Rattus norvegicus: one gene and its partners. The protein of the gene in region 3 interacts with the protein of the main gene of each other region in a pairwise test. Links are inferred from orthologs where the notes say so. Each region holds a gene or a part of one and is shown on either strand. Other genes may lie near its edges.

Region 1 (5,904 bases), on a different chromosome or scaffold from region 3:
CCACATGAAATTAGCTCATACTTCTTTTTCTTTTACAAAGCACTTAAAATAGAAGAAAACATTTATACGCATTGTATTTGATTCCTATGCCCACAAACCACAGATCCATTCTTCAAATGTATTTATGCTGACCCTTCTTAGGGGCCGAGGAAAATCCACAGGAAAAGACTGACAGCAAAAGTATAACCCCAAATACACACACATCTCCTAAGGTAACTTGCATATTGGGTCTTCCTATGGCCCAAACTCTCATCCTCTCCCTCAACTTGCAATACACTACAGTAATTCACCATGTAGACCAGAACAGATGCTATCTCATGCAGATGAGGAGGAAACACTTCTAAAACTTTTATATATATATATATATATATATATATATATATATATATATATATATATATACACACACACACACACATATATATACATGTATACACACACACACACGTGGTGCACTGCCCCGCTTCGCTCTTAAAATTTTAGAGCAAAAAAAATTTTTTTTTAAAAATCTACATTCTAAAAGCACATGGGAAACAGAGCAAGTGTAACGAAGCATCTTAGGGACCCGCTATTACCTCCGGCTGCTCTGGAGCGCACCGCCTCTCCCCGCCCAAAGTCCCTGTCTGCAACCTTCTGCACACACCTGGCTGCTAGGTAGAGGGGTGGGGGGGGGGGGACAAGGTGAGTGGACGGGAAAGCCCTCGGCGTCGAGGTTCGCTTACTTTCGTGCCTGGTCCTGTAGTGAGCGAACGGAGGCTAAGGGAGAAGGCAGACGAGGGTGGGTGGGGAGTCGGCGCACAGACGGTCTGGTACCACCCGCAGAAGACTGACTGCCCGGCTCATCGCCCAACACTCCGGCTTCTTAAACGCAGGAGCGCGCGCATGCGCGTGCACCCACCAAAGCGCACTCGGGCTCGCGCGTGCGCACGGCGCTCTCGCACAGTCCCGCCATCTTCCCCTTCCCCTTAGAGGCTACCAGAGGCCGAACCGGAAGAGGGCGGAGCAAGTGAGGGGAAAAAAAAGAAGGCTCTAACGATTGTTCCCAATCGACCGTTGGGAAGAATGGTCAGGACCACCTGAGAGAACCCCCAAAGTACTAGCCGCAGCCGGGATAAGCCGGCCTCGGCTCTGCACAGGCAGAGCGCACCCACTCAAGCTCCCCTCTCCGCCTTCAGTCCAGACCGGTAGCCCCTCGGAAAACGCGCGAGAGAGTGCGAGCCGCCAGAGCAAACCCGTGAGAGCAGAAGAGGGAAGCCCCGCCCCCTACCCATCCACCAATCAACAGCCAGCCGCCTGCAGGGGGCGGGGCTTTCGGTAACTCGCGGAGGGAAGTCTCGCGAGGCTTGTCGCTGTGTGGCTGCCAGTAGCGGAGGTTCTGGTCCGCCCGGGATGGAGCCGAGGCAAGCGGGCTGCCGGATCCTCCCTGCCGCTGTGTGAGCAGGGCTGTGTGTCCGCTCGCTGAGCAGGCGCAGCGAGGCCGCGGAGAGCACTCTCTGGGCGCCTCCATCTCGCGGGTGGTGGTCGCCGTCTCTGACGGCTGAGGGGGACTGAAGCTGAGTGGAAAAACACGAGTGGGTGAACCTCTGAGCCGGGCTCCCTGTCTCCGTGCTCTCACTGAGCTCCTGCCGGGAACAGAGGTACGGAAAGTTCCATGAAAACCCCCGGGCCTGCAGGCCACGGGACACCCTTTCCGGGTTTCCTTTCCTGCCACTCCGGAGCTCCGTGGGCGGTGGCTGGAGGGACTTGTCGGTGTTGAGTTTGCCTCAGCGCACTCGACCGCGTTTGCGACTGGGACTTAGCCACGATCCTGAGGGAGCTGCTGAGATCGTTTGAATCCCTCAGCGCCCTTCCAAATTCTGTTCCAAGTTGGAACAACTGGCTTCCCTCAGACAGATGTTTCAGAAGCTCCAAGTGTGTGCTTTCCACCATTTTCAGGAACAGTGCAGTTCCTCTGCTTCCAGAGTGATGAGTGGGGGCTGGATGCTTATTTGTGTGTGTGATCCGCACGCATTCTTTCTTTATCCCATTCTTTGAAAGACTCATGCCGTATATTGCCACTGTCATCTTTGACAAGAGTGAGGACCCTGTCTCTTTTCTTCCGGTCCCTGATCGTAGTACCGTCCCCCTTTCCAGAACACGGACCTCAGAATTGTCTAAGGCTCTGTATTCCACTCACACTGCACCAGATTTTTTGCTTCTTTCACTGTGACTATGACAGTTGCCCTTCCTCCACCCCAAACCGGTGTGCCCGCCTCAGCCTTCCATACTTACTGTGAAATGCATTCTCTCTCCTTAAACTTTTTCAAGTTCTAATTTAAGCCTACCGATCCGTCAGGGCTTTTTACCGTCCTATCTTAAATCATATTTTACCTCTTCAGGGCCATCCTGTTGCCGCCCCTAATTTTTTACCATCCACTTATGCCCGGCTGTTGGGGGTTTCCCAAGCATACCTCACATTTCCGCCACTGCTGTGTGAACCCAGATAGTCTGTTGGGATGCTTGGTTTTCCTTCTGTCTCATCGTCTCTCAAAACCCTACGTCTTTTTAGACTCCCTCGGGTGACATCGATAACACAGTGAACTCCCAGAGCTCTTGACATAATTCCGCAGTATTTATTAGGATGCATTATTTGTTCAGTTACCTGTCTCTCCTGCCAGCTTGAACTTGAATCTGGAATCGTGTCTTACTCATGTTTAAAACAAATGCTAGTTCAGTGTTGGCTCATAGCAAGCATTATTATTATATACTATTTATAATGTAATCATTCTAAAGAATTTGCTATAAAAATTCTGTCTCTTAAAAATCAGAATATTAGAACCCAAAAGCCCTTACCTGCTTTGAGCATGAACATGAGCAGCCTTGTAACCCTAACACTTATGTAATTAATTGTACTTTTGCTCTTAGTGGATGGAGATTGTATATAATATCAAATGCACATGCATGCACATACCCTATGCATTCAAATGATTTTATATTATGTTAGTATCATGTTTAACAACTAGGATCTTATGGGATGCAAATGTTTTTGATAGTGCTCAGCATAAGAAAAATTCCAACTCTTGGCCATATGTTAGAAATAACTGGCTTGGGTTAGGTTAGTTCTTTTTGGGATTGTTAATTTGAACACACAACATAGCCACAATTTTAGGGAGTGTATAAATTGGTCTTGATTCAATGTGCTCTTTCTCTCAAATTGTGTTCCTTTCAACTTTAAGAATTGATTTTCTTCATAAAGCTCCAAGTATATTAATATTCAAGGACAGTAGGAATTTTCTGTACTTTCAAATAGTGTATGTGCTGAACAAGATGCTCATTTTTATATGTTCTTTATAAACATTTTGTTTGTTTGTTTATGGGTGGTTGTTGGAGGCTCTACATAGTCCTAGCTGTCCTAGAACTCACTAGGTAGACCAGTCTGGCCTTAAGTTCACAGATAAATCAACTGGCTCTGCCTCCCTAGTGCTGGGATTAAAAGTATATACTCCCATAACTGGCTATATACATTCTTGATCTCTTAAAATATTTCTCTAAGGACTTGAAACACATTTTTATGTTGCTATTTTCATGTGCCAGTTAATATAATATTATTGCATATTTAATAACACTAGAAGTACCAACCTGAGCAGTAACAATTTAAATTTTTGACATCTAAAAACATGTCATATCATACCATGTTTTTGTATCTCCAGAAATTGGATGATTAGTAGATTTGCTAATAAAAGAAACAAGAATTACTTGAATTTCTTTAGATTTTTCTTAACTAAAAGCTAAAAAGTATCCAGCTGGCAATTGCTGCTGTGGGTAGGTGGTGGTTTCTCTTTAATGAGCAGCAGAATGTTCTGGACCATCTGTAAGAATCTGACTGCAGATGTCTTAGTGGTAGAGTGGGTGAAAATGTGGCTAAGCAGGAAGCAAAAGAAGAAAGAAAACTTGTTTCTTAAAGGCATACCTCTGTAATTTGAGCCTACCTGTTTAAAATAATTTAAGAGTATTATGACTAGTTAAGACAAAACTGAAAAAATAGGTAAATAAATTGAAAGTATTCCTTTTTTAAATTGGATTCACTTTTTTACTGTGTAACAAAATGTGGAAAATATCTCTCCCACTTTACTAGTCAAAAAGGGAGAGAAACATCTTTCAAAAAGGATGGCAAAGCAGATTCATATTATAAAATATTTAGGTGTTAAGTTTTCTGTTTATAATTCCTTGTGTGTAGATGATTTTTTTATACTTCTAAAACATAAAATGTAGTTCATTTTGTTAGTTTTTGTGCAGCCTAGAGAACATTTTTTACAGTAGTAGTTTTTAAAAGCCCACCATAGGGGCTGGGGATTTAGCTCAGTGGTAGAGCGCTTACCTAGGAAGCGCAAGGCCCTGGGTTCGGTCCCCAGCTCCGAAAAAAAGAACCAAAAAAAAAAAAAAAAAAAAAGCCCACCATAATTTATTGCTAGTTAAGACTAATTTTTATGTATACTTAAAATAATTGCTAGATTTTTATAGTTATGAAAAGTATTTTAAAAGTTATTGTTTAAAATTGTTCATGTACATTTCCATATGACTCAAAAAAATTGAATCTTTTAGAAGTTCCACTTTGTAGAATCTGGGATTTGTTCTTTCTGTCTCAAGAGGTTGAGACAGTTTTTACATAGAAAGGAGCAAATGGGGCCCTTGGATCCAGCTTGGCTAAAGAGTTCCAGACCTTGCATTAGCTGAGCTGTCATTCAGCTACTTTATTTGGAATTTTTAGTCTTATTTTTTTTTTCAATAAAGAAAAAAAGGAGTTAACACTTGTTCTTTGTCTAAATGGCAAAATAAGATGGTATTCTTCAGGTCTAGAGAGCTACCATTTTGAATTAACTAGAATTATTAGGCCTGCACTTCCCACCAACCCTGATAACCTGAATTTGATCCCCAAACTCACATGGTGGGTGGAGAGAGCATGTTCCAAGTTGTCGTCACACATGTGCCATGGCAACCCACCCAGAATAGTAATATATTATTAAGTATTACCTAGCAGTTTGAGTATGGTTGTGATGGATATCATGACTGTTGTAGTTAAGTTTCTTTAATGATAGTAAACATCTCTCCATGTGCTTTCTGTATTTATTTGCCATTTGTGTATCTTTAGGATAAGTATTAAAGTCTCCTGGCCATTTTTAAAATTAAACTTACTCTTGCTCTACTGATAGCTTTTTTCTAAACAAGTACTTCCCCAGATGTGGATTGGGAATGGCTCCTCACAGGGAGTGTGCCTTCTCCACTGTCTTAACTGTCTTAACTGTCTGTTTATCATCTGGATGAAACCTTGCTCATTAGCCATTTCTATAGTTCTTACGTTTCATACTTATGCTATCATGCCTAAAAACAGATCTTTATCATCTGCAGACTATAGAGATTTTCTTTTGCCTTTTTCCTTAAAACATTACCATTTCTCATTTTATTCTCAAGTTTGTGTTCCATTTTAAGAAAAGCTTTAAGCCATAAAGCTTTGTATTAAATCAAATTAGAATAGTATTGACATAATATTTTTGACATGTACATGTCTAGTTCTTCCAGTGCCACTCATTGAAAAGATGTTAGCATTTCTCACAAAAAAAAAAAAAAGTGTGTGTATGTGTAAGAGTACAGTACCTGTGACCTTGAAGGCCAGAAGAAGGTGAGGGCTTTGTTTTGCAGCTGAGTGTTCCCTGACAGGGGTCTTGGGGTCTGAACACTAGTGCTCACAGTTGAGCACAGCACTGTTAACCACTGAGGTCGATATCCTTTGATTTGCCTTTTCACTTTTTTTTTTTTTTTTACTTTTTTTTTTTTTTTACTTTCTTTTTTTCGGAGGTGGGGACCGAACCCAGGGCCTTGCGCTTGCTAGGCAAGCGCTCTACCGCTGAGCTAAATCCCCAGCCCCTT
Region 2 (6,034 bases), on a different chromosome or scaffold from region 3:
CTCTCAAGTGCTGGGACTAAAGCAGCAACATAATGACTAATACATACATACATACATACATACATACATACATACATGCATACATACACACACACACACACACACACACACACACACACACACACACACACATACAATGGCAGATGTGGGTTCCCCTGGAACTGGAGTGTTACTACAAGCCATTGCAAGCCATAAGATGGATGTTGGAACCCAAAGCCCTAACTATCTCTCCAGCCTCCACCACCAACTTTCAACCCAGCAGCCAACACTCTCCAGGAGCCGGAAGTGTCTGCAGGACTGTGTTATCTGCCCCCACAGAATACTTCCAGGAAGGAGGCTTTGGAGATGGAATTTTTTTTTAAGTCACAATAACTTCATAGAGGCAGAACAAGCCCTTCAGACCATGGGAAATTCCATTTTTGTTGGCCATGCTTGTGGTAAGCCACTTAATCTGGGGAATAACTCAAGTCCTCAGTCCCGAGAATTACCAGTAGTTGGACCCATCTATTCTTCAGACATTTCTTGAATATCTATTGTTCGTAGGCTGAACACTCTGGGTGGGAAGGATACAAGGCTAACTCCGGAGTACTGAAAGGAACAAGAGGAATTCTGGGGCTGAGGTGAGCTCACCGGTTTTCTTCGCCCTCCAGCAATTTCCTGTAGGTGGCGATCTCGATGTCCAGGGCTAGCTTAACGTTGAGTAGATCCTGGTACTCCTGCAGGTGGCGGGCCATCTCCTCCTTGAGGCTTTGGCCCTCCTCCTCCAGCCGAGCGAGTGCCTCCTGGTAACTCGCCGACTCCCGCGCGTGGCGCTCCTCCTGTTCGCGCATTTGCCTCTCCAAGGACTCGTTCTGCGGGATGGAACTGATCACTTGGCCGGGAGATTTTGAGAAACTTCGAGGCTGCAACCCCTGATCTCTTCCGTGTTCGCCTATGCCACCCCGGTCCCTCCATCCCTGTCCCCCTCCAGCAACTTCTTGCTGCCCCATCCAACCAGTGATCCGTGCTCACCGTGCCGCGCAAGGACTCAAGGTCGCAGGTCAAGGCCTGCAGTTGGCGGCGATAGTCATTAGCCTCGTGCTTGGCCTGGCGGAGCAGCTCTGCGTTGCGGGAAGCAACGTCTGTGAGGTCTGCAAACTAAACCCAGAGAGGACCAAAAATTGAGGGAAAGTGGACTGGAGCCTCCCAATGGCGCAAGGCACAGCCCAGAGAGCTGCCTGAGCTGGGAGATATACATGATCACTGAAAAACCAGGAACCTCAGGGCTCCCTTAGGAGGAACAACTGTAGCCCAAGGACTTCTTAGGCCTTCATCCTGCCCAGACTGTCCCTGCATGTGAGGCTCATTAACTCACACTGGGCTTGGCGCCCTGGGCCAGCGACATTTCTGGTCTCTGTGCTTTTCTGTCTCAGGCCTCCTCACAGCCCCTGTTCTCCACCTGAGATGCCCTTCCCTCTTCTCCTGAGTCTCTAGGCTGCCTGTCTAGCACAAGTCCCACCCCTAGTCCATCCCCCATCGTCCCTGCCTCCTACAGTCTGTATAAACGCTGGCCTCATCTGGACTAAAGAACGTGGCACACGGGGTTGGGACTTAGCTCAGTGGTAGAGCGCTTGCTTAGCAAGTGCAAGGCCCTGGGTTCGGTCCCCAGCTCCAAAAAAAGAAAAAAAGAACGTGACACACAGTAGATGTTCGGTAATGCAGGGCATAGGCTGGCAGAGGCATCAAAAAGCAGGCTCTCTGATGATATGGGTTAGGATAGGAAACGCTATCCCTTTGTCACTTAGGAGCTGTGTGACACTGAGCAAACTGGTGAGCCTTTTAGCTATTATTAACTATTACTGATATTACTTATAATAGCAGTAACCAAGAGTAGTTTGGGAAGTAATAATGCTTGCGTGGTTTTGGGCAAGTCTCCTCTCTCTGGGCAAGACTGGACACCTAGATAGGTTACCCTTCCCTAGCTTCCTTCCTTCCTTTATTCTTCAGGAGGGAGCAGGAAGACTTCCTGGAAGAGGCAAGCTGCCCCACAGGTACCTTGGACCGATACCACTCTTCTGTTTCTTGCATGTTACTGGTGGCCACTGCCTCGTACTGAGTGCGAATCTCTCTCAGAGCCGCTGTGAGGTCTGGCTTGGCCACATCCATCTCCACGTGGACCTGCTGCTGGGCCAGCTGCTCCTGGAGTTCTCGAACTTCCTAATAAGGTAAAAGAAGGGGTATTGAGGCTCAAGCCTCAGGCCTAGGCTGCACTCTCCCAGACTCACGCCTCTGTCTGCCATTTATAGCAATGGCTCACGGAAATGAGGCAGATGTTACTGGAGGAAGTGCATGTTCCAGGCCAGCCAAGGCTACACAGTGATATCCTGTCAAAAAGTAAAAGTAAAGCGTCTAATGGGCATGGAATGAGAATTTGAGGGTGCCTTCCTCTCAGGACTGCATAGTCAGGAACCAGGCATGAATGAATATGTCTTGCAGCCAGGCTCTGAGGTCAGAGAATAGATGTGCGTGCGTGCGTGGCTGGTCTCAGTTTTTCTGTGTGGCTGAAATTGGCCTTGAACAGTTCAAACGTTCCACGTCTACCACTCACAGGCTGAGATGCATACCACTGTGACAGGTCCTCAGAGGGGTTCTCAGCTGTGTGACTTTGGGGGTGTGTTTTAACCTCTCTGGGCCTCAAGGTCCCCACAGTTGTGAAGGAGGTAGTGATAAGGCTCGCAGAGCTGATGTGAAGGAGAAACTCAAGACTCGGTTCTGTGCTTCTCAGAACATGGCGGCGGAAGGCCTGCGTGTGTTTTCACGGGTAGTAAATACTGGACACATCTCCCTTAGTCTCTGTCTTCACTCTTTCTCTCGTTTTTGTTTTCTTCCTGAAATTTGGTTTCTCCGTTTCCCTCTGTGAGCGTCTCTGTCTATCACCTGCAGTTTCTCGTAAGGCCCCTCCCTCCCCCTCCCTGGCCTCACCTCCTCATGGATCTTCCTCAAGAACTGGATCTCCTCCTCCAGCGACTCAACCTTCCTCTCCAGATCCACACGAGCCAAGGTGGCTTCATCCGCCTCCTGGAGCAGGGAGAGAATCTCTTTGACCCCAGGGTCCTAGCTACTAAAATTTCCAACTTTGTCTTCCCCCTCCTTGTGGGGATCTTGGAAGCAGACAACTGCGGTGTTTGGTGGGCGGCCCTCCGCCTCCCCTCCCCCACCCTCCCTCTCATCTCTCTGACCTGTCTGTACACAGCCAGGTTGTTCTCCGCCTCCAGCCTCAGGTTGGTTTCATCTTGGAGCCTGGGACAGGGAACACAGTACAGGCTTTAGGTTTTCCTGAGGACTCTTGGATCCCTATCCGAACCTCCAGAGGGAGGGGACTGTCACAAACGGATCCCACAGGATCGGTAGAATGGCAGGAAGAGTAAGCAACGGCAGGTTCCTACACAGAGGCCTTGGCTGAGCGTGAACAGATAAGAGCTTCCTCCTTAACTCATTACTGAGGTGCCTTATCGGGGTTGGTGCACCTGCTCTTGTTCCCAGAGACGCATCCACCACCGTGCGCCCACTGTCACTGACACCAGTGCCCCTCCCGCACCAGAGGGACACGTGAATACCCACCACCCAGCAAAGCACCACGCCCCAGAGTTTGACCTCGGTTACCATCTTTTAGGACAGATTGTATCATGACCTCTCCTTTACAGCTACAACCAATCAAAATGACTTGAGCAGGGTCAAAAGCAGGTCGTAGACAGCCATCTGGGCCCGGCATCCAGGCCTGCCTGCTCTTTCTTGCATTTCTTATATTTCAGAGACCAAGAGCCTCCTTGTGGACGCAAACCTCTCTGGCCATTCATAGTGCCCAGTGACTGAAGCACCTGCCTGCTTGTACCCTGGCTACCCACACACAGCCTCCCTCAGCTTGGTGGAAGTACCCAGAATGCTCAGCTCTCTCTGGGAATCTGATCCCTGAAGTTTTCAGTCTCTTCCTGGCTATTCTGATCATATTAGGGAACAAAGACAGCTCTCCCTTTTGAAACACAGCAGCCAAGAGGCTCTCCTTAGGGGGAGGCAGTACCCTTCCTTCCAGGCTCCTCTCTCAATTCAGTCTCTCTGCTCACTAGCCATTTTTCCTATTCCCCTTCTCACTTCTGCCTCAGGGTGCCGAGGTCCTGTGTGAGATTGTCCCTCTCCACCTCCAGCCGGGCACTGTTGGTAGTAAGCTGGTCCAGACGCAGCCGCAGCTCCCGAAGTTCTGCCTGGTAAACGTCAGCCAGTTTGGTGGGCTCCTTGGCTCGAAGCTGGTTCAGCTCAGCTGCCAGCGCCTTGTTTTGCTGTTCCAGGAAGCGGACCTTCTCGATGTAGCTAGCAAAGCGGTCATTGAGCTCCATCATCTCCGCACGCTCGCTGGCCCGAGTCTCTTTGAAGCCGGCATTGAGCGCCCCGGCCAGGGAGAAGTCTACCCTGGCAGGGAGTGGAGGCGTCATTCGAGACAGGGAGAGGCGCGGAATGGTACCCAGGTGTCTGGTAGGACCATGGCCCCTGACCATCGTCTCGGAGGAGGCATAGGAGCGGCGTGCAGAGGTGATACGTCTCCGCTCCATCTTGCCCTGCTTCTGCTGGCTCCTGGGATGTCAGGGCCTTTATTGAGGGACGGGCTGGACTGGATCTGCCCCTGACTTCCTGGCAGCACCCCATTGAATAGCCTGAGGGGGTGGAGCTGGGCCCCAGCCCAGCTATGGAGAGAACTCTTCTCACCCCACCAAGGTCACTGTACCCAGAGTCAAGGGTTTCCTGGGAACACCAGCCTGGCTTCACCATTGATCAAGGAAACCCCATTTCTGGTAAATGGGTCAAGAGAGGGCCGAGGAAACAGCTTAGTCCATAAATCGCTTGCCTGTCAAGCATGGAGACCCAAGTTCTAGCCACAGAGCGAATACAAAAGGCCTGGTTTGGAAAAAAAAAAAAAAAGGCCTGGTTTGACAGTGCATACTTGTAACTGCAGTGCTGAGGAATGAAAATAAGTAGGCTTCCTGGGTCACACTAATTGGCAAATCTCAGGTCCCAGGGGGAAATGTTATCTCAGACAACCAAGTCAACAGTGTCTGAGGTTGACCTCTGGCCTCAACACATGTATGTACACACACATGAACATTTGTGTGGTAAACACACACGTGTGTGAGCACACACACACACACACAGAGAGACAGAGACAGAGAGAGACAGACAGAGACAGAGAGAGGGACAGCATGCACACAGCTGGGTTGGGTAAACTGCCTCCAGTTCTTAGAGCCTGTAAGCCAGGGCTGCCCCAACTCTGAACTTCTCTGTGGGCCTGTGAGATGCTAGGATCTTGAAGAACCTATTCCCTTCCTCCGGGATCAGCCTAAATTACACTCTCCTGGGACCCCCATTCTCAACAGATGTGCAGAGCCCTCTCCTCTGAACCCCTCCAGTACTATCTTCTCATTCCTGGAGTTCAGGAGTTGGGGGCTGGGGTTTCAAGCCCCCTTTGTGACTCCAGAATCAATTTGAGCCTCTGGCTGTGTGTTTAGGGGGCAGGACAGAAGGAATGCACGTAGGTCCTGATAGGGTAAGACAGCTGGCTTCATTTGTGAGCCCCCCCGTTCTCTCAGGAGACTTACCTCCTTTGAATTTTCATACACCAGGTCTCTGGGGGATATGTAGGTCCGGGAAACCAACCTCCACCTTCATCGTTGGTGGGGAGGAGGCTGTTGATGTTTGAGATCTCAGGCCCATCTATCCCCTCCACTCAGTTCCCCCCCAGGCGCCATCTGTACCCTTGGGCTTCTGGAAAACAGACAGCTCTGCTCCCCTCCAGCCCCCAACGCCTGCCTTCCTCTGCCCATGCTTGGACTTCTGGTGTCTACTCCAGGGTATTTGCTGAATAGAGCCTTGTTCTCTGCCGCCAGTGAGGCATACGGCAAGGGTAGCCCCATGGGCTGCTTTCATCCCTGGCTGCCAGGATGTCAGCCCTTGGTGCAGTACAAGCTCCCAGCTCAATGGACTTCTCGGAAAGCATTGAAGGGGGCCT
Region 3 (7,639 bases):
GCCAGTGCTCCCTCTGCCTGTGCTCTCTCTGCCTGTGCACCCATACCCTCTCTATGCTCCCTCTGCCTGTGAGCCCTCTGTCTGTGCTTCCTCTGCCTGTGCTCCCTTTGTCTGTGCTCCCTCTGCCTGTGCTCCCTCTGCCTGTGCACCCATACCCTCTCTATGCTCCCTCTGCCTGTGCTCCCTCTGCCTGTGAGCCCTCTGCCTGTGCTCCCTCTGCCAGTGCTCCCTCTGCCTGTGCTCCCTCTGCCTGTGAGCCCTCTGCCTGTGCACCCATACCCTCTCTATGCTCCCTCTGCCTGTGCTCCCTCTGCCTGTGCTCCCTCTGCCCGTGCTCCCTCTGCCTGTGCTCCCTCTGCCTGTGCTCCCTCTGCCAGTGCTCCCTCTGCCTGTGCACCCATACCCTCTCTATGCTCCCTCTGCCTGTGCTCCCTCTGCCTGTGCTCTCTCTGCCTGTGCACCCATACCCTCTCTATGCTCCCTCTGCCTGTGAGCCCTCTGCCTGTGAGCCCTCTGCCCGTGAGCCCTCTGCCCGTGCTCCCTCTGCCTGTGCTCCCTCTGCCTGTGCTCCCTCTGCCTGTGCTCCCTCTGCCTGTGCTCCCTCTGCCTGTGCTCCCTCTGCTTGTGCTCCCTCTGCCTGTGCACCCATACCCTCTCTATGCTCCCTCTGCCTGTGCTCCCTCTGCCTGTGCTCCCTCTGCCTGTGCACCCATACCCTCTCTATGCTCCCTCTGCCTGTGCTCCCTCTGCCTGTGCTCCCTCTGCCCGTGCTCCCTCTGCCTGTGCTTCCTCTGCCTGTGCTCCCTCTGCCTGTGCTCCCTCTGCCTATGCACACTCTGCCTGTACATCCTTGGCCTGTGGCCTTATAGGCAGAGGTTCTCCTAGAACACAGAACCCTGGTCCCTCTCCCAGGCTTCTATCTAGTGCTGGAAGAGTTTTTTTAGGTAGATAGAGTTCGGCACGGAACCTGGGGTGGCAAATATTGATCGTTTATTTGCTAGACTCTAGAATCAATCCTAGAAGAGAAACTGCCAGGCTCCACCATGAGAGAAAGTCTAGGCTGGGTCAACTGAGGAAGGAAGGCTCAACCCGAATGAGTGACTGAGTGATCCTACGGAAGGGGCCAACATTCCCCTCTCCCCCAGCTTCCTCACTGTGGATGGTAAGAGACCAGCTGTCTCACATCCCAGCACATCTCACGGCTTTCCCCACCACTGTCAAACACTCCCAGACAAGCCCTTCCTTCTTTAGTTGCCTCTGTTGAGCGTTTGATCTCACAGCAACAGGAAAGGGAACTAGTAGAGCGCTCAGGTCCCCACACTTAGGTGAGCCCTCACCACTGAGCCATAGCAGAGCCCAGGATCTGCTTTTCGCTGTTTGACTTTCACTGTGGCTTCTTCAGATAAGAGGTGGGAGGGACTTCCCAGTTGGGTGGAAGGGTGACGGCAAGTGACACCAAGGCTGGGGAGGAGCTCCCAAAAACAAGGACTCCCAACCTCACCCCCCAGGCAGATGGTTGAAATATGAGGTAAGGAGGGTCATCTTTCCCTAACCCTACTGGGGGTTTACCCTTCGATACCTTGGGGATTCCCAACTGTCTTTAAACTCTCCTCCATTGCAGCAGCCTGTGAGTGTGTGAATTTCATAGCAACAAAAAAAAGACACCTCCCTGCTTACTTAACGTATATCACAAACATGAATCTTTTTTGAGTCAAATTTGGATTAAAAAATCAGGTGTGTGCATGAGAGAGAGAGAGAGAGCGAGAGCGCTTGCACTTATGTGCAAGGGGTAGAAGCCAGGATGTTTGGAAGAATCTGTGCAGAGCCCTAAATCTGGCTTTTAAGTGAGAACAGTCTCTATCTCTTAATGTCTTAAAAAAAGATTTATTTATTATATTATATGAGTACACTGTCGCTGTCTTCAGATTCACCAGAAGAGGACGTCAGATCCCATTACAGATGGTTGTGAGCCACCATGTGGTTGCTGGGAATCGAACTCAGGACCTCTGGAAGAGCAGTCAGTGCTCTAACCACTGAGCCATCTCTCCAGCCCTCTGTCCTTATGTCTTAAAGTTGGGTTTCACTATTTCTCTGGGCTCAGAACTGGTGCAAATGGATGTCATTTTGAATCTTTTCTGCAGGAACCCCATCCCACTCAGAAGACCTGCCTGGGGTATAGAGTCCCTGGTGGAGTCACCCAAGCCCCTGGTAACCATGCAGCCCCCATTCCACTGACCAGTCTGCGGCCTCCTCTGCTGTCTTCATCCCTGTGGCCGCCAGTGCTTTGAGCCTGTGGAACGAGAACACAGCAGAGTCAAGGCCCGCTCGGCTCTTCTTTGGAAGGGGTGAGCTCTGGTAGTAAAATGGTTTCTCTTCCACACTGTGTCCTACCAGGGCCAAGCTGCTGGACTTCCCTTTATGCCAAGATCTCCATCTTTCATACAGTGACTCATGCCACACCCACGGCTTGATTTCTTGACCCTGGGTCCTGGTTGTCAAGTCCCAACCTCTGCTCTCTCTTCCTTTCGTCTCTCTGCACCCTGCTACCCTGCAACAAAGCCGACGTCATCTACTTGTGGATGCTCAACTGGGCTGGGACAGGCTGCATTCCTGGCTCGAGCCTGTGCTGCCCTGACAGATGCAGCCCAACCCCGGTTGCTTAGCAGGTAGCGTTCCTTAACTAACCACTGGGCAGGCTCATCCACATCCCTCTCCTGTGTCTCCCCCCACCCCCACTACTCGCTGGTGCTTTCCTCATGGTTCCCATGCGTCTTAGTCATTCTGGGACCTGGGGTGTACACAGGCTGACTTCAATTTGGCTGAGTTGGGCCAGAGAGACCAGAGTGGGCCACGCACCCAACCATCAGTGGCTGAAACCGCTGGTCCACGTTGGAACCCAGTGTAATATCGCCCAGTATTTGGGCGAAGAGCAGTGGAGATGTAGCCGTCTAGAGAGGCCATGACAGAGAGGTCCAGCCATGAGCCCCTTCTGAGCCCCACCTAAGAACCTGTAGACACTCGGGTGTTTACTGGTTTAAGCTAGCAGGGATTTGGAAGGTGAGCCCACTGCACGGCTTGAGTAGTAAAACAGAATGGGTCTCGGAGGCCTTGGGAGCCTGCTCCTGTCCTACCTAGGCTTGCCGCTGGCTACTCTTTAGGCCTTGGTGTTCTCATGTGCGGCTTCCTGGTGGGTTCTGTTCCCCATTTAGTGACCAAGAAGCCCCGATATTGGGAGAAGAGGAGACCAGCTTCGATGCCAATGTCCTCCCTGGTAGCCAGGTTCTTGCTATCTCATCGAAGGACTTATTTGGCTCACTGCCTGAGCCCCGGGTTCTCTGAAGCATACTTCCGACTTGGCGTCTCCTTGGGAGTAAGGATCTGAGAGGACGGCCGCTAAGAAGCAGGTTTACGATGGATGCCCTGACCACGGTCAGCAACATCTCTTTCCTCTCTGAGCCCAGGGGGACTTGGATGAGCCCAGTGGTGCTGGGGTGAGCTGTCTCTGGAACTTCTCACACATTCTACTTTGTCACCGGGTATTCCAGATGTGTTCCCTAAAGGCAAGCGACTTTCCCTGGGCTGCTTAGAAACTCGAACGATAATTCTCTCAGGGGATCCTAGCCTTAGAGCCTCATGTCAGAGTCGCATACCTTGAAACGTCACCATAAGATTCGCCAGTGCACAGGAGAGGAACATTTGCCCCCAAACCCCTCCAACCCTCCCCCTCCAAAGTGAGCAGCCAGAGGCCCACATGGCTTCTAATGTGCGCATGCCCCTGTCAGTCAATAGGAAGAGCTCATCTTTCAGAGCTCAAGACCATTCCATGTTTAAGCAAGAGGAAGGGGCCTTCTTGTGAGACGCCCGTCTTACACAATTAGGTGACCACTTTAGCAGGAAGTCAGCCACACTCGGTTATCCAGTTGCACGACAGGCGGAGGAGAGGATCCACCCAGGCAGGGAAGCCGGGCTCTAGGGCTGTGGCAGCCGCAGTACTCACGCGGTATGTGTGGGGAAGCCCAAAGCCAGGAGGGGGTCCAGGAGTGAGGAGGTGCTGCGGCCCTTGAGCTTGTTGGAGACCTTGGCATAGAGCTGTGTCTCCCCGGCAGCCATGCCTTCCTGCTTGCCGTACACGAGGCGTCTGCTCACTGCAAGGATTAGATAAAGTGAGAGAGGAGAAGGAGGCAGGCTGAGGCTGTGAAGAAAAACCTCAAGCCTCTTTTGATCTCTCTGACACAAGCGAATATCCTGTTTGCACAATGATCCGGCTTCAATTCTCCCTGCCGGTCCACAGCCAATGTTTTCCAAACCCACCGGCTTCCACAGTTGAGGTCTGGCCCGAAGTTCATCATTGGGATCTGCTGGGTGCGTTTGGGAGAAGGAAGACCTGAGAGTGTGGGGGAGGGAGGAGCAAAAGGAGGAGTCTGGAACAGGCTTCTTCTGTAGGTTCTGCCAGGCACCCACCCTTGCCACCCTGGACCTTAGCCTCTGTGTCTGCAGACGAAACACGGGTGTTCACTCTATACACTGCCCCTGCTTGCTTAGAAAACTCTAAGAAAAGGTTTAATTGACTTTTTTTTTTTTTTGGAAGAACTTTTAACATTCAGTGCTATGTATGGAGCATGAGGAATTTCCACAGAGTAGATTTCCTCTCCCCAGGACCAATGAAACAGTAATGCAAAGCCCGCAGCATTTAACTTTTGCACCCCCCACCCCCGCAAGGGGACAGTTGACAGTGTCTGGAGACATTTTGGCAACTAGTGGATGCCAACCGCAGAGGCCACAGGACCCAGGACTGTCTGTACAGAAAAGGGCAGGCTTGCCCAGTATCAGCAAGGCAGGTTAGGAAATGCTGCTCCAGAACTTTCCAGACCCTTAGAAGCATCCCTACCCCTCCCTGCCTCCCTCTTCCAAGGTTATCCCCTTGGAATCTCTTTTGTGCTTTAATTTGAAGACTCGTGTAGCTAGAACACTGGAACTCATGCTCTATTATCATGGCTGTGTTCTCCTCTCCTCTCCTCTCCTCTCCTCTCCCCTTCCCTCCCTTCCCCTTCCCTCCGCTCCCCACTTTCCTCCTCTCCTCTCCTCTCCTCTCCTCTCCTCTCCTCCCCTCCCCTCCCCTCCCCTCTCCTCTCTCCCTTCTTCTGTCCTCTTTCTCTCTCCACCCCTCCCCTCCCTTCCTCCTTTCCCCTTCCCTCCCCTCCTTTCTCCTCCCCACCCCTCTCTTCCCCTCCCCTCTCCCTTCTCCTTCCCTCTCCCTTCCCCTCCCCTCCCCTCCTTTCCCTTCCTCTCCTCTCCTCTCCTCTCCTCTCCTCTCCTCTCCTCTCCTCTCCTCTCCTCTCTTCTCTTCTCTTCTCTTCTCTCCTTTCTTTTCTTTTCATGATGCCAGGGATTGAATCCAGAGCTCCATCCATGCTAGGCAACTGCAGCCCCTTAGCTCCTCCTGTCCTGATTCTTGGCTCCAATCGATGTCTATGGGATCCACCCATGCTTGCACTTCACTGCTACCCTGACAAACATCCTACTAAACGGTGCCTGGTTCTTCCACCTACTTTTTTGCTGGAGTACATGTGGGCCGAATCGACAATCTACCCTCTGGCCCTCTGAGGATGAGAGGCTTGGTGTGTTTGGTTTTTTGGGTTTTTTTTTGTTTTTTTTTTTTTTCTTTTTCTGTTTTCAGTCCTCTGGTCAGTTTACAGTAGCATCTCCATGTGGTTGCAATTTGCATTCCTCAACTACGGACCAAAATACCAGGGCTGTTTGACTACAGGCTTACTGGCCACAGAGCAGTCTCTCTGGGGAAGTGTCTTCTTGGATCTCTCTGCTCCTTCCTCCCGAGATTTGGCTTGTTAGTCTTATTTTTTTTTTTCTTCTTTTTTTCGGAGCTGGGGACCGAACCCAGGGCCTTGCGCTTGCTAGGCAAGTGCTCTACTGCTGAGCTAAATCCCCAACCCCAGTCTTATTTTTTAATCACTCTGTGGAAGCTCTCTCTGGCTGGCACCTTCTGCATCCTGTTCGAGAAATCGCTGTTCGTACGCACCAGTGAACGCGGTCTCCTCCACATTGTTCTAGAAGTTTGTCTGTGGTTGTCATTCCCGTTGAGCTCAGTGGGGGTTAGGGTATGGTACATCACCATACACTGTCACAATTGTGTGTCGCAGACACACAATTACTTTGGGAATGGTTCGAGGTGGGGCTAAAGGTTCTTTATTCTCCGTTGACGAGATGAGCCCATGCCACCAGCGTATTGTCAGCCAGTTTGCTTCTGGCTTTGTCGTGTTCTCTTATCTGATTTGTTCATTTTTGTGCTCCTTTTTAAAAAAACCACTATGGTGTGAGAGTGTGCTGATTTAGCTGTGAGATTGTCCTCTGCTCTTAGCTCTTTTATGTAAAAATCAAAGAGCAGGCTGCATATGTACCGGGAAGGGTGCAGGTGACTCACATATACATCAGTCAACTGTCAATAATCAATAATCGGGCATTCTAACTCCCCAGGAAGGGCTGCTCCTTCCGTAACAGTGCTGGGGAACTGCAAGCACGTATGGTGTTAATTCAAAATAGATGGTGGGCTCAGACGTAAAATCAAAAACTACCAAACCTGTCAAAGAAAGCCTAGAAGAGAAATACATGTTGTGTTTTAGCTTATAAAACTTTCTTGGGGCACAACAGGAGTAACCCGCGATCTTTTATTCTTCCACATCAGGCTTCGTCAAAATCATAAATGTTTACTCTTTGAAAAGTGTTGTAAAGGAAACGAAAAGAAAGATAAGTCACTGAGTGGGAGAAAATACCCCCTCCCACGCGCCTACATACTTGGTCTGATACCCGGAATGTACAGGGCATGCATGTATTCAAACAGCTAACGAGAGAACCAAACACATCTTTAAAATCGGTAACGTGTCTAACTGCTACCTGGTGGAGAAGAGGCGAGAGCACTCATGAAAGACGTCTGACCTCATCTGTCACTGAGGGATATAGAAGAAGACCACAGCACAGTTCCATAGCACCCACTGGACTTGGAGCTAAAGTCAAAAGGACCAATAAGGTTAGGCTTCAACAAGGTGAGGGACCTCTCGGAAACACCCATGCTTTCGGTGGGATTGTCGTTCAACGTGTTGACACAATGTCTTATAAAGGTCAACATGCATTTGCGACAGGACCGATTCTGATTTTAGATTTTACCAGGGAAAAGTGAAAATGTGTGCTCCCACGAAAACCCATCTTTGAACGTCCACGGTGGCTTTACTCATTAGCGACTCAAACTGGAAAGGATTCGAATAGTCCAACTGTGAACAGACACACAGCAGCTGTGTGCTCAGGGTAGCTATGCCCAAGCACAGGAAGCACCGTAGCCCGGCTTCCTGTAACCTGAACGAACAGAGGAGCTCGCTGTGCTGAGTGCCAGCGGCCCCACCACACTTTCGTATGGATTTATCTAGATGACATTTAGGCAGACAGCTTCAAAGAGCAGAGCAGTGGTTGCCTGAGACAGGGTGCGAAGGGGCTTTGGGCTGAGGGGCCTGACTGAGTGGTGTTTACATGGGTGTCCTTTTTTGTTGTTGTTGTTGTTGTTCAAGACAGACAAACTGAGTGTTTAGAACGGACACCTTTAACAGCCTGTCAATTAAGCCTCATTCAAACC

Evidence for each region.
Region 1: the proteins of Ubash3a (region 3) and Fgfr1op2 interact in binary tests that used the Homo sapiens proteins (3 or more experiments, as listed by UniProt). The link is inferred for Rattus norvegicus from reciprocal best matches to the Homo sapiens genes UBASH3A and FGFR1OP2.
Region 2: the proteins of Ubash3a (region 3) and Gfap interact in binary tests that used the Homo sapiens proteins (3 or more experiments, as listed by UniProt). The link is inferred for Rattus norvegicus from reciprocal best matches to the Homo sapiens genes UBASH3A and GFAP.

Annotation. Positions count from the first base shown.
Region 1 is NC_086022.1:181,220,978-181,226,881, forward strand, and holds the start of Fgfr1op2 (FGFR1 oncogene partner 2 homolog), read left to right. Parts: upstream 1-1,320; 5' UTR 1,321-1,637; intron 1,638-5,904. UniProt on the Homo sapiens protein: May be involved in wound healing pathway.
Region 2 is NC_086028.1:88,357,078-88,363,111, forward strand, and holds the start of Gfap (glial fibrillary acidic protein), read right to left. Parts: upstream 4,585-6,034; 5' UTR 4,584-4,584; coding exon 4,129-4,583; intron 3,280-4,128; coding exon 3,219-3,279; intron 3,058-3,218; coding exon 2,962-3,057; intron 2,197-2,961; coding exon 2,035-2,196; intron 1,138-2,034; coding exon 1,012-1,137; intron 852-1,011; coding exon 631-851; intron 1-630.
Region 3 is NC_086038.1:9,290,216-9,297,854, reverse strand, and holds the start of Ubash3a (ubiquitin-associated and SH3 domain-containing protein A), read right to left. Parts: upstream 4,166-7,639; 5' UTR 4,111-4,165; coding exon 3,998-4,110; intron 2,291-3,997; coding exon 2,237-2,290; intron 1-2,236. UniProt on the Homo sapiens protein: Interferes with CBL-mediated down-regulation and degradation of receptor-type tyrosine kinases. Promotes accumulation of activated target receptors, such as T-cell receptors, EGFR and PDGFRB, on the cell surface.